3 linked regions of the Pelodiscus sinensis genome follow. The main gene of each other region encodes a partner of the protein of the gene in region 3 in a complex. Links are inferred from orthologs where the notes say so. Each region holds a gene or a part of one and is shown on either strand. Other genes may lie near its edges.

What was found.
Region 1: CNOT10 (region 3) and CNOT6L share a complex: the UniProt entries of both Homo sapiens proteins name them as parts of the CCR4-NOT complex. The link is inferred for Pelodiscus sinensis from reciprocal best matches to the Homo sapiens genes CNOT10 and CNOT6L.
Region 2: CNOT10 (region 3) and CNOT6 share a complex: the UniProt entries of both Homo sapiens proteins name them as parts of the CCR4-NOT complex. The link is inferred for Pelodiscus sinensis from reciprocal best matches to the Homo sapiens genes CNOT10 and CNOT6.

What each region holds. Positions count from the first base shown.
Region 1 is NC_134715.1:8,811,899-8,815,648, reverse strand, and holds the start of CNOT6L (CCR4-NOT transcription complex subunit 6-like), read left to right. Parts: upstream 1-906; 5' UTR 907-1,071; intron 1,072-2,249; exon of another isoform or gene 2,250-2,887; intron 2,888-3,750. UniProt on the Homo sapiens protein: Has 3'-5' poly(A) exoribonuclease activity for synthetic poly(A) RNA substrate.
Region 2 is NC_134727.1:33,391,785-33,395,534, forward strand, and holds the start of CNOT6 (CCR4-NOT transcription complex subunit 6), read left to right. Parts: upstream 1-1,033; 5' UTR 1,034-1,186; intron 1,187-3,420; exon of another isoform or gene 3,421-3,750. UniProt on the Homo sapiens protein: Poly(A) nuclease with 3'-5' RNase activity.
Region 3 is NC_134712.1:183,643,096-183,646,845, reverse strand, and holds the start of CNOT10 (CCR4-NOT transcription complex subunit 10), read left to right. Parts: upstream 1-1,382; 5' UTR 1,383-1,498; coding exon 1,499-1,520; exon of another isoform or gene 1,521-1,669; intron 1,670-2,044; exon of another isoform or gene 2,045-2,047; coding exon of another isoform or gene 2,048-2,069; intron 2,070-3,750. UniProt on the Homo sapiens protein: Component of the CCR4-NOT complex which is one of the major cellular mRNA deadenylases and is linked to various cellular processes including bulk mRNA degradation, miRNA-mediated repression, translational repression during translational initiation and general transcription regulation.

The sequences.
Region 1 (3,750 bases), on a different chromosome or scaffold from region 3:
CGCGCGCGCACACACACACACGGGGTGATACCCCAGCACACACACACACACACACACACACACGGGGTGATACCCCAGCATGCACACGCGCACACACACACACACACACACGGGGTGATACCCCTGCACGCACACGCACACACGGTGATACCCCAACACACACACACACACACACACGGTGATACCCCAACACACACACACACACACACACACACACACAGTGATACCCCAACACACACACACACGGGGTGATACCCCAGCACACACACACACACACACACACACAGTGATACCCCAGCACACACACACACACACACACACACACACACACACAGTGATACCCCAGCACACACACACACACACACACACACACGGTGATACCCCAGCGCGCACACACACGCACACACACACACACACACAGTGATACCCCAACACACACACACACACACACACACACACACGGTGATACCCCAGCGCGCGCACACACACACACACACACACACACAGTGATACCCCAACACACACACACACACACACACAGTGATACCCCAACACACACACACACACACACACACACACACGGTGATACCCCAGCGCGCGCGCACACACACACACACACACACACACACACACACACACAGTGATACCCCAACACACACACACACACACACACACACACACACACACACACACACAGTGATACCCCAACACACACACACACACACACACACACACACACACACACGGTGATACCCCAGCGCGCACACACACGCACACACACACACACACACTCCCGCCCCCGCAGGCCCATCCAGGCCAGGGCGCTGCGCGCAGGGGGCAGGGCCGGGCCGGGCGGCGGGAGGAGGCGGAGACAGGGCCCCGCGCCCCGCCCCGCCGCTCTCGCCGCCTCCCCCCGGAGTAATCCCAATATTTATCCGGCAGCAGGCGCCTGCGGCCCCCCGCGCCCGGCCCCGCCCCGGCCCCCTCCCGGCCCGGCGGGCCGCTGCCTGCATGTCTTGGCCGCCCTCCGCGCCGCCGCCCAGCCCCGCCGCCCCCGCGCGCTGGATGCAGGTGAGCGGGGCCGGGGGGAGGGGGGGCGAGCGCGGCCTAGGCGGGCCCGGCTGCCGGGGCGCGCTCCCAGGCCCGGGCCTGCCCGCGGGGGACGGGGCTCGCGGCGGGGCGGCCGTTGGCGTGTGCGCGAGCCCGGCCCCGGCCTGGGCCCCCCGCGCGGCGCTGGGGGGCGGCGCGCGCGAGCTGGGCGCCTCTTGTGTAAACACGTGGCCCCGGCCCAAGGCCCCGGCCCGGCCGCGCGCTGGGCTGAGCCCCGCTCCGGGCCTGGCGCTTCCCACAGGGGCCGGGGAACTTCCCGCAGCCGCCCCACTGGCCTGTGTCCTGGCCTGAGCCGCAGCCACTTTGCCCCCCGGCTCTGCCCTCCCCGCCCCCCCTGAGAAATGGGACTTTCCCCAGCGCAGCCCGCCAGCTGTCACCGCTTCAGCGCCTGCCCGGGGGGCTCCGGACGCTTTGCCTGGAAGTTTGTTCTTGCCTGGCCCTGCAGCCTCCCAGGGGGGATCCTGAGGCGAACAGGGCTCCTGAGCGTGGGGAAATGGTAGCAACCCTGTCAGCGAGCCACACGGAGTAAACCAAGGCAGGTCCTGCCCTGCAGAGTTTACTACTGAGGCAGTGACAACGCAGGAGGGTAGCTCAGCTAAGCAGGTGGGAGGACGAGGTAGCAATGAAGGACCAGGGTCAGTTAGGCTGCAGTGTAAACATAGCCTATGTCAGCATTACTTCAGTTATCCAGGAGTGTGGGGGGGGAAAAAAACCCTCTCCCTGTGTGACATTACCTCACATCCGCATAAACGCTGCACTGTGTCCATTTGAGAACTTATCCCCCCCTGATATAGCTGTTACTGCTGCCCCAGAGGTGGTTTTGTCATGCTGAGCTCCTGTTGACACATAGGCTGCGTCTAGACTGGCATGATTTTGCGGAAATGCTTTTAACGGAAAAGTTTTCCCGTTAAAAGTATTTCCACAAAAGAGCGTCTAGATTGGCACGGAGGCTTTTGCGCAAAAGCATCCGTGCCCAGTATAGACGCGCTTTTGCACAAGAAAGCTCCATTTTAGCCATCAGGCTTTCTTGCGCAAAAAATTAAGGTGCCTGTCTACACTGACCCTCTTGCGCAAGTATTCTTGCGCAAGAGGGCTTATCCCTGAGCGGGAGCATCAAAGTATTTGCGCAGGAAGCATTGAATTCTTACATTAGATCGTCAGTGTTCTTGCGCAAATTCAAGTGGCCAGTGTAGACAGCTGGCAAGTTTTTGCACAAAGTCTTGCCAGTCTAGATGCACCCATAGAGTCTTCACTAGATGGGATGCACTGGTACAGTTGCAGCACTGTGTAGCCATAGATGAGCTTGCTTAGCTGGCTATCAAGCACAAAAACTGTCAGGAGAATTCAGAATCCGTGTAGTACCCAAGCTATTTTTACTTTTTTGAAAAACTAATTATATCCCTTTACACAGAAAACTCGGCATATTTTGTTAAAATATTTCCATTCATATTAGATTGTGGAGCATTCTATTTCCAAAACATACTATTTACAACATTTAAATTTTGAGCCTGAAAACTAACACAGTGGGTTTCTTCCTTTTTTGAGCCCCCTGAAAAAATTTGAATGGAGGTGTGGACTCTGTAGACACTGTTCTGCAGACATCTTCCTGAAAATTGAATCTTCAGGAGTGATTTGGTGGAGGCTAAGTTAGTCACTTTTTAAATTTACAGGGGGAATTTGTGAGAAGGTCATGGAAAAAAGCACAGAGGTGTTTGTGAAAGATGTTGACTAATGAAGTAAGGAGTGGCAGAGTGGGTGCTATAAGATAGTGGTTTTGGTAAGTAGGCATGGGTTAAATTATAAACCACCCTTACGATCAGTCTAAAGGAGTGCATATTTGATGCTATAAGGGGGGAAATTGGTGTTCCAACAAATGGGTGTATGATATAATTGAAGTGGTGAGGTATGAAAACTTTGGCAGCATTTTGAATTGACTTGATAAAGTTGCAGTAGTCTAGTCTGCAGAAGAATAGACCTCAGTAGTGAAGATATGATATAGAGGGCCTAGATAAAAGAGATTGGCAGTCAGGAGAGAATATGTAGATCTGAACTGAAGAACATTTTTTTTGTAACAAATATTGGCATATATAATTGACTAATGATCATGCAGTCACTCAAGAATGTGCTTAACTTAGCATGTATGAATAATTCCTTTTTTAATGTGTGCATAAAGTTAATCATGTGCATGAATGTTAGTAGGATGGTACCTTTGCTAGTTAATCTGTATGGCTTTATAGGTCCCAGGTATCTTTCATACTAGAAAAGAGGATTCTGTCACACATCCAGTTTCCCAGAACATCCCATTAGAAGGAATTAGTATCACCTTTAAACTACCAGTGGAACATAGTCAACTAGAGCAGTGTTTCTAGAGGTCGAGGGACCTTTGGGGGTCAGCAGACTATGTCTAAGGGGTATGCAAAAGGCTTAAGCTGAAAACTGACTGAACAGAATTCACCTGAATGTACAGATAGTATGTTTCCAAAGGAGTCCAGACCTCCATTCTAAATTTTTCAGTGGTATCATAGACTCATAGACTTTAAGGTCAGAAGGGACCATTATGATCATCTAGTCTGACCCCTTGCACAATGCAGGCCACAGAATCTCACCCACCCACTGCTAGAATAATCCTTTCACCTATAT
Region 2 (3,750 bases), on a different chromosome or scaffold from region 3:
AATGCTGTCCCCTGTCCCACTGCATGCACTACACTGCTACTCAGATCTCACCAATATGCTCCTCCAAACATGCCCTGGGACCCCACGAGCCCCCCGCAGCTACCCCCTCTGAAACCCCCGCGGCCCCCCGGAACCTCATGGGCCCCTCGCGGCCACCCTCCTCCCAAACCCCACGGGCTACCCGCCTCCAGAACACCAAGGGACCTCCGCAGCCACCCCCCCCCCCGCAACCCTACGGGCTCCCCCAAACCTCACGGGCCATACCCCTCCGGAAACCCGAGGCCATCCCCCTCCGGACCCCCCAGGTCCCCCGGACCCCTCCCCACAGCCACCCTCCTCTGTACCCCACAGATCCCCTAGGCCATCCCCCTCCGGACCCCCCAGGTCCCTCTGGACCCCCCCGCAGCCATCTCACCTCCGGACCCCACAGATCCCCGAGGCCCTCCCCCTCCGGACCCCCCAAGTCCCCCAGACCCCCCCCCCGCAGCCACCCTCCTCTGTACCCCACAGATCCCCTAGGCCATCCCCCTCCGGATCCCCCAGGTCCCTCTGGACCCCCCCGCAGCCACCTCCCCTCCGGACCCCACAGATCCCCGAGGCCCTCCCCCTCCGGACCCCCCAAGTTCCCCAGACCCCCCCCCCCCGCAGCCACCCTCCTCTGTACCCCACAGATCCCCTAGGCCATCCCCCTCCGGATCCCCCAGGTCCCTCTGGACCCCCCCGCAGCCACCTCCCCTCCGGACCCCCCCCCCGCAGCCATCTCACCTCCGGACCCCACAGATCCCCGAGGCCATCCCCCTCCGGACCCCCCCGCAGCCATCCCCCCTCCGGACCCCCCAGGGCCCCCGGACCCCCCAGATCCCCGAGGCCCTCCCCCCCCGCGCGGTCCGTTGGGCTGTGGGGACGCTCCGAGCGCGGCCCGGCCAGGCCGCAGAGACGCCGCGCGCGGCGTGCGGTGAGTGTGGGCGGCCCCAGCGCGCGGCGCTGCGGAGGGGCGGGGTGCTGGGGCGGGGGGGGGCGGCCTGCCCGCTGCCGCCATGATGCTTGTTTGCTTTCAATGCGTGTGAGGAGAAGGGGGAGGAGGCGGGGGGGAAGCTGCTCTCCCGTCCGGCCCGCGGCAGGAAACAAAGAGCCAGGCAGGCAGCGGAGAGAGGGCGGCGGGGGGACGGGGATGCTGCAGCCACAGGTACGGGCAGGAGCGCGGACCCCCGGGCTTTACCCTGCGGGGTGGTTCTTGTTGGAGGAGTCTCGCGGCGTATTCCTGCGGGGCGGGGTGTGTGTGGAAAGAGCGAGTATTATTACTCCGAGGGGGGGGGGGGTGATTGGGGGAGGGGAGTACTGCTGCTTTGAGGGGGCGGGTATCACCGCTATGGGGGGAAGAAGTATTACTGGGGGGGGGCACACGGGCGCCCCTGTGTTGGGGGCCAAAGGGGTAGAAGTGCCCTGGGTGGGGGGCAGAGAATGGTGTATTGGTTCCAAGGTGCGGTTGGGTGGGGGCAGATTGCTAGGGAATTTGGGGGGGATTATTGCTGTGGGGGAGGGAGACCTCTTGGTCTGTGGTGGGGTGAATGGGAGTATTGCTCCGGGGCCTGAGAAGTAGTATTGATTTGAGTTGGGGGGGGGGGGGTTAATCCCTTGGAAAAAGCTCTGTGGGGGCTTTGTGGGGGGGGGGGGGAAGCGACGAGTGATTTTGCTCTGAGGAACAGGGGGCTGGATTAATACTCCAGGGGGTGGGGAGTTGAGGCTGGGAAGGGGTATTTCTCGCAGCAGGCCTGAGGGAGGAGAGGGGATGTCATTGTGGAGGGGAAGAAACGGTGGAGAAGCATTATTGCTGGAAGCTGGGGCAGGGAGGCGCTGAAGGAAGGGGGCTTGAGTGGGTGGGTGATATGAGAAACTCTTGAATGAAATGGGGCTTCTTTTCAAGAGGAATTAGACTGGAAGCTTATCCACAGAATAAGAGAGCCCAGAGGCAAAGGGCCTCCTTCCCTCAATAGCTTATTGTACCCCATATTTATTGGCATTTAGAAAGTAATTATATTAGGGTGGTTTTGCAGTGAGAGGAAAGGTGGGGGCTTCTTTCAGAGGAAGTAGGTTTATTCTCGTTTCAAAGGCTTACACGCATTGAGAAAGCAATTAAGAGGCAGTGACAATGGACTTGAAATTAGTATAATGGCATTTGGAAGTTTAAAAGCGTTTTTCCTGTGTAATTGAGTTTAAAATAATTAAACATGAAGACAGAAGGAAATGACATCAGTATGATAATTGACCATCTACATTCAGACCACAATTTTCCATCAGCCTACCCCTCTGCATTGAGAGACTTGAATTCATTTAAAGCTGATGTATTTCTTTTTGTAAGTCTTATTTTGTGAACAAGCAAAATTGGTTTGTAAACAAAATCTGTTTTCTGCTCCGAGAGAAGCCTCCCCTTTCATTTGCTGCTGATAGTCTGAAAACTGAGGCCTAGCTGGCAATAAGGAGGCCACAGCAGCAACTGCTTAGATCTATCTGAAGTAGAAAGGAAGAGTGTTAGAGGGTGATTGTCAATCCTGCTGTCCAATGAAATGACTGGGGAGGGCAGGACTTGTGGTGACATGCAGATAAGTGGTTGGGCCAATGAGACACTGGGATACACACATGTAGGGCGTAAACAATGGGGAACTGGGAAACATACTCCAAAGACAAGTTTATGCAGTGTTGTTATATGAAAAAATGTGTGTATGTCGTTAATCATGGAAATTATAATAATATCCAATTGATAGGGTTACTAAGCTCATGAGCAGGCAATTACTTTTGTAATTGACGGTTTGGAGAATGATTGCTATTGTATTTGTCAGACTCTGAGACAAACATGTAGGAAGTAAGCAGTTGTGAACTAGATGCTAGATCTATTTTTCGCTACACTACATGCTTTCAAATGTGAAGAATTTTAAGTTGCTGTGTTTCCCACTAGTGAGGTTAGCAAACCTGTTACATGCCAATTCCTGTATTTGGCTCAAAATTGAGATTTTTAGAGGTAAGATTTTACATAATCTGATCAATAATGTCTGTAAATTAAAAAAAAAATTCTTGTGAAACTGGCTTCATTGTCCCATCCAATCTTAATATGGGGGGGGGGGGGGGCAGAAAAATGGCTCAAGTTCTTTTGATCTAAAATATATTAGTAATGTAGAGACAAGAATTGCTTGAATATGACACTCTAGGAAGGCAATTGATTTATAACCAGTAATGGTTGTTCAGTTCTTCCTTTGTTTAGTTTCAGGAGGTTATTTTATTTATTTGAATTTCACTGAGTTGAGTATCAGATAAAAAAAAAATCAAAGAATGTAGGAATACCGGTGGTAATTGTCTGGTTTATGTGTGTAGGTTTGCAAGTGTTGATTGGTAATTTTATTGTATCTTGCATTTTTTTCATCCTAGAGCAGGTCTCGTAATTGGGAATTTATCAACATTTCCACTGGGGTAATTTTACAGGATTATCTGCCCTGTGTTCTTCCTGCTGTTTCATCTGGACTCTGGAGTTTGCTGCTAGCAATGAAGCCTTCTGTGGGGGTTTATTCACGCTATTACTGAAATGGAGCCATTCGCATTTGGATTTACGCTTTATTCACTTTCCACTTGAATCGCTTGGATCAGTCCATTTATAAAAAGGAGACTACTATGCATCTTTTTTCTGTTTGCATATTGAAGTTGAACGCTGGGTGCATCCTTGATGTGTACAGGCTGTTTACTTTGCTTGAATGTTAGAGG
Region 3 (3,750 bases):
GGTTACATCTCCATAGCATAATTATTTCGAAATAACATAGTCCGCATCTACACTACAAGCCTTTATTACAAAATAACGTCAAGCTGGAGGACTTGTTACTCTGACTCCTGGCAACCCTCATTTCACACGGAGTAAAAGAAGTCAAAGGGAGAGTGTTCTTCCTTTAACTTCCTGTTGTGTAGACAGTGCAAAAAGCTGAGGTAAGCTATTTTGACATAAGTTACGCAATTGGCATAGCTGAAGTTGTGTAGCTTAACTCTACTTTAGCCCTGCTGTGTAGACACACTGTGTGAGCAACCTTCTGAAGGGGGAGGATATGACCTGAAAGAGATAATCCCGATGTGACCATACATAAGTGCCCCAAAAGTAAGTGATTCCTATTACAGAAATTTATTAACAGATAAAATATTAATTGTGCCACAGTGCCCACTTTTTGGAGATTGCGGTGTAACAATGTGGCTTTTAACTTGAACTTCTTGCTGAAGTCTGAGTATATTTCTCAACAATACCAGTAAAATCCAGGAGGCTCTTTTGTACCCCATCAGCAGTTAACAGCTACAGAAACTGTTTTCCTACTTAATATTATGACTTAGCTCAGATTTTTCAGAAAGACATCCTTCCACCTCCAGACTGGACAGGTTATCTATAGATGCAGTTGTAAGAGGAACAATGATGACCATCTTGTTAGTCTTTACAGTGCTACATAGTCCTGGTTTTTGTTTCAGCTAGACCAGACTAACATGGCTACACAGCTAGTACTATTCAATGATGCACCAGGTGCAGGATTGCTCTGAAACGTATGAGGGGTTAAGCCTCACCTGTTAAATCTGCACATCCCCAGTAAACACCTTGGCGAGGAGCCCCTTCCCAATACACAGTCAAAAGCTTCAGGGGATAGCCGAGTTCGTCTGTACAGGAAAACGGAAAAAGCAACGAATAGTCTGGTAGCACTTTCTAGACTAACAAAACACACGTCCACGAAAGCTCATGGTACCATCCACATGTTGTGTTAGTCTAGAAAGTGCTACCAGACCATCTGTTGTTTTTTCAGTTCAGCAATACACAGTCAGACCGGCCACAGAGCAGGCGAGGCAATGATTGGGAAGGGCTCCTGCGAGCACGAACCGGACGGCAGAGGGTGCTTGGTGCAAGCCAACACCACGGCGGGCGCAGCTCCGGGCTGGGAGCCTGCGACTGGAGCCAACACACCGGGCCCGGGGGAAGGGCCCTTTATCCCCCGCAGCAAAGGCACGTGCACGGGGACGCCGGGGCGCGGGCCTGGCTTGCTACGTCAGCACTAGGTGAGACCAGCAGCTCAGTCTGTGACCGGCCCGCGGGCCGGAGATCAGCCCGGCGGGGGCCAGGTCGGCCGAAGCGGCTCCCGCTGCCGGCGGGCGGGGCCTCGGGCGGAAGGGGCGGGGCCGGCGGGGCTAGGCTCCCCGAAGGGGGCGGGGCTCACTCACTCGCCGCTCGGGCAGCTTGCGCGCGCGGAGCGGCCATGGCGGCGGACAAGGCGGGCGGTGAGTAGGCGAAGCGCCGCGCTGACCCCGGGCTCTGGCTCCCTTTGTCCCGGGACTCGCTCCTCCCCGCGCAGGGATACCGCCCGAGCCGCGCTGCAGGCCTGTGCGCCCGACGAGCGCAGGGATGTACGCAGCCGCGGCTTTGCCACGGGGAGTGGGACGTCTAGTCTTGTGTCCTTCCGCGGGGGGGGGGGGAGGCGAAGTAGGGCGGGCAGCCCCTTCCCTTGGCTGGGTGGGGGCTGCTCGGGGGCGTGACGCGCGTTCCCGGCTTTGGCGCCTCCCTTGTGGGCGGCGGGTGAGGCCCCCTCAGCCCCTGGCCGGGGTTCCGCGAGGGAGGCCCCCGAGCCTGGCTCGCGGCTCTTGGGGTCGAGCCCCCGCTGGGCTGCGGGCGCGGGGGGATGGGCAGCGCCCCTGGGTGCCGGGCTCTGGGGTGTCCTGCCTGTGGCAGCGTCCGGGAGCAGGGCTGCTGCGGTAGGTGCTCGCCCCGAGCCCTGCTCCTGGCCAGGGCCCCTGACGACTCCACTTGGATGGCTTCCCATATGGCTGCTTGTAGGTATCCTAGTGACTCCCAGGCTTTCCAGACTCCTGTACTAGGGGGGGAGGCTACGTCTAGACTGGCACGATTTTCCGCAAATGCTTTTAACAGAAAAGTTTTTCCGTTAAAAGCATTTGCGGAAAAGAGTGTCTAGATTGGCACGGGCGCTTTTCCGCAAAAGCACTTTTTGTGGAAAAACGTCCGTGCCACTCTAGATGTGGTTTTGCGCAAGAAAGCCCCGATCGCCATTTTCGCCATCGGGGCTTTTTTGCGCAGAACAATACCGTGTTGTCTACACTGGCCCTCTTCGAACGGGAGCAGCATAGTATTTCTGCAGGAACACTGACAATCTTACATGAGATCGTCAGTGTTCTTGCGGAAATTCAAGCGGCCAGTGTAGACAGCTGGCAAGTTTTTCTGCAAAAGTAGCTGCTTTTGCGGAAACACTTGCCAGTCTAGATGCAACCGGGATGTAATAGTGTAGTTGATTAACCAATAATCAAAAGCTTATAGGTTAATGCTATAGACTACATGATTTCCCCTCCTCCCCCACCCTTTGCTAGTCAATTTTGTTAGCAGGCTGGCCAGCAGCCCAGTTCAGTCTTGGCTTGCACTGGGTCCTGGTCCTACCCCTGCTGCAGCTCTGCATTGAAAGTGCAGGCAGGCAGTCAGTTCAGTTCAGTTCTGGCTCATGCTGGGTCCCGGAGTTCAGACCCTCCCTCCTTCCCCCCTCCCCCCCCCCCCCCCCCGGAAAGGGGCTGCCTGGGGACTATAAAATAGTCAATTAACTAATAAGAATTCATAAAGTTAATCGACTATTCAATTAACGAATATTTAACATCCCTATACTGTACCTCTTCCTGGAGTCTAACATGTCTTGGGAACCTGTAGGTTTTACCTTGCTTAAATACTTGCTTATAAAAATATAGAACTGCCATAACACATTATTACATGCAGAAGCCAGCAATTTTTCAGTAATTATAAAACTGAATAAATTGGAATATGAATATTGCATGTAGCCTGTAGCACCGTGCTGTCCAAACAGTTCTGAAGCAGAGCAAACTAGCCACGTTATTCTGAAAATGCTATAGCAAACAAGGCATGTTATTCAAGCCAACTAGCCACAATCAACTGGCCAAATAGCCACGTGTGTCTGGTGCTTAGCGTGTTGGACACCACAGCTAGGCTACGTCTACATTGGCAAGATTTTGCGCAAATACTTTTAACGCAAGAATTTTTGCGTTAAAGTATTTGCGCAAGAGAGCATCTACACTGGCATGTGCTTTTGTGTAAGAGATGTGCTTTTGCGCAAAAGCATCCGTGCCAATGTAGATGGTCTCTTGCGCAAGAAAGCTCCGATGGCCATTTTAGCCATTGGGCTTTCTTGCGCAAGTAATTCATGTTGCCTGTCTACACTGGCCTCTTGTGCAAGAGGGCTTATTCCTGAGCGGGAGTGTCATAGTTCTTGCACAAGAAGCACTGATTCCTTACATTGGAACGTCAGTGTTCTTGCGCAAGAACTCACGGCCAGTGTAGACAGGCTACAAGTCTTTGCGCAAAAGCAGTTGCTTTTGCGCAAAATCTTGCTAATGTGTAGACAGCCCTATAGTATATAGAACAGCATAAACAGGCTGTGTGAAATTTTAGATTGTGCTGACTTGGCTCATGTTTTTTATGTAGATTGTTGTAAAGCTA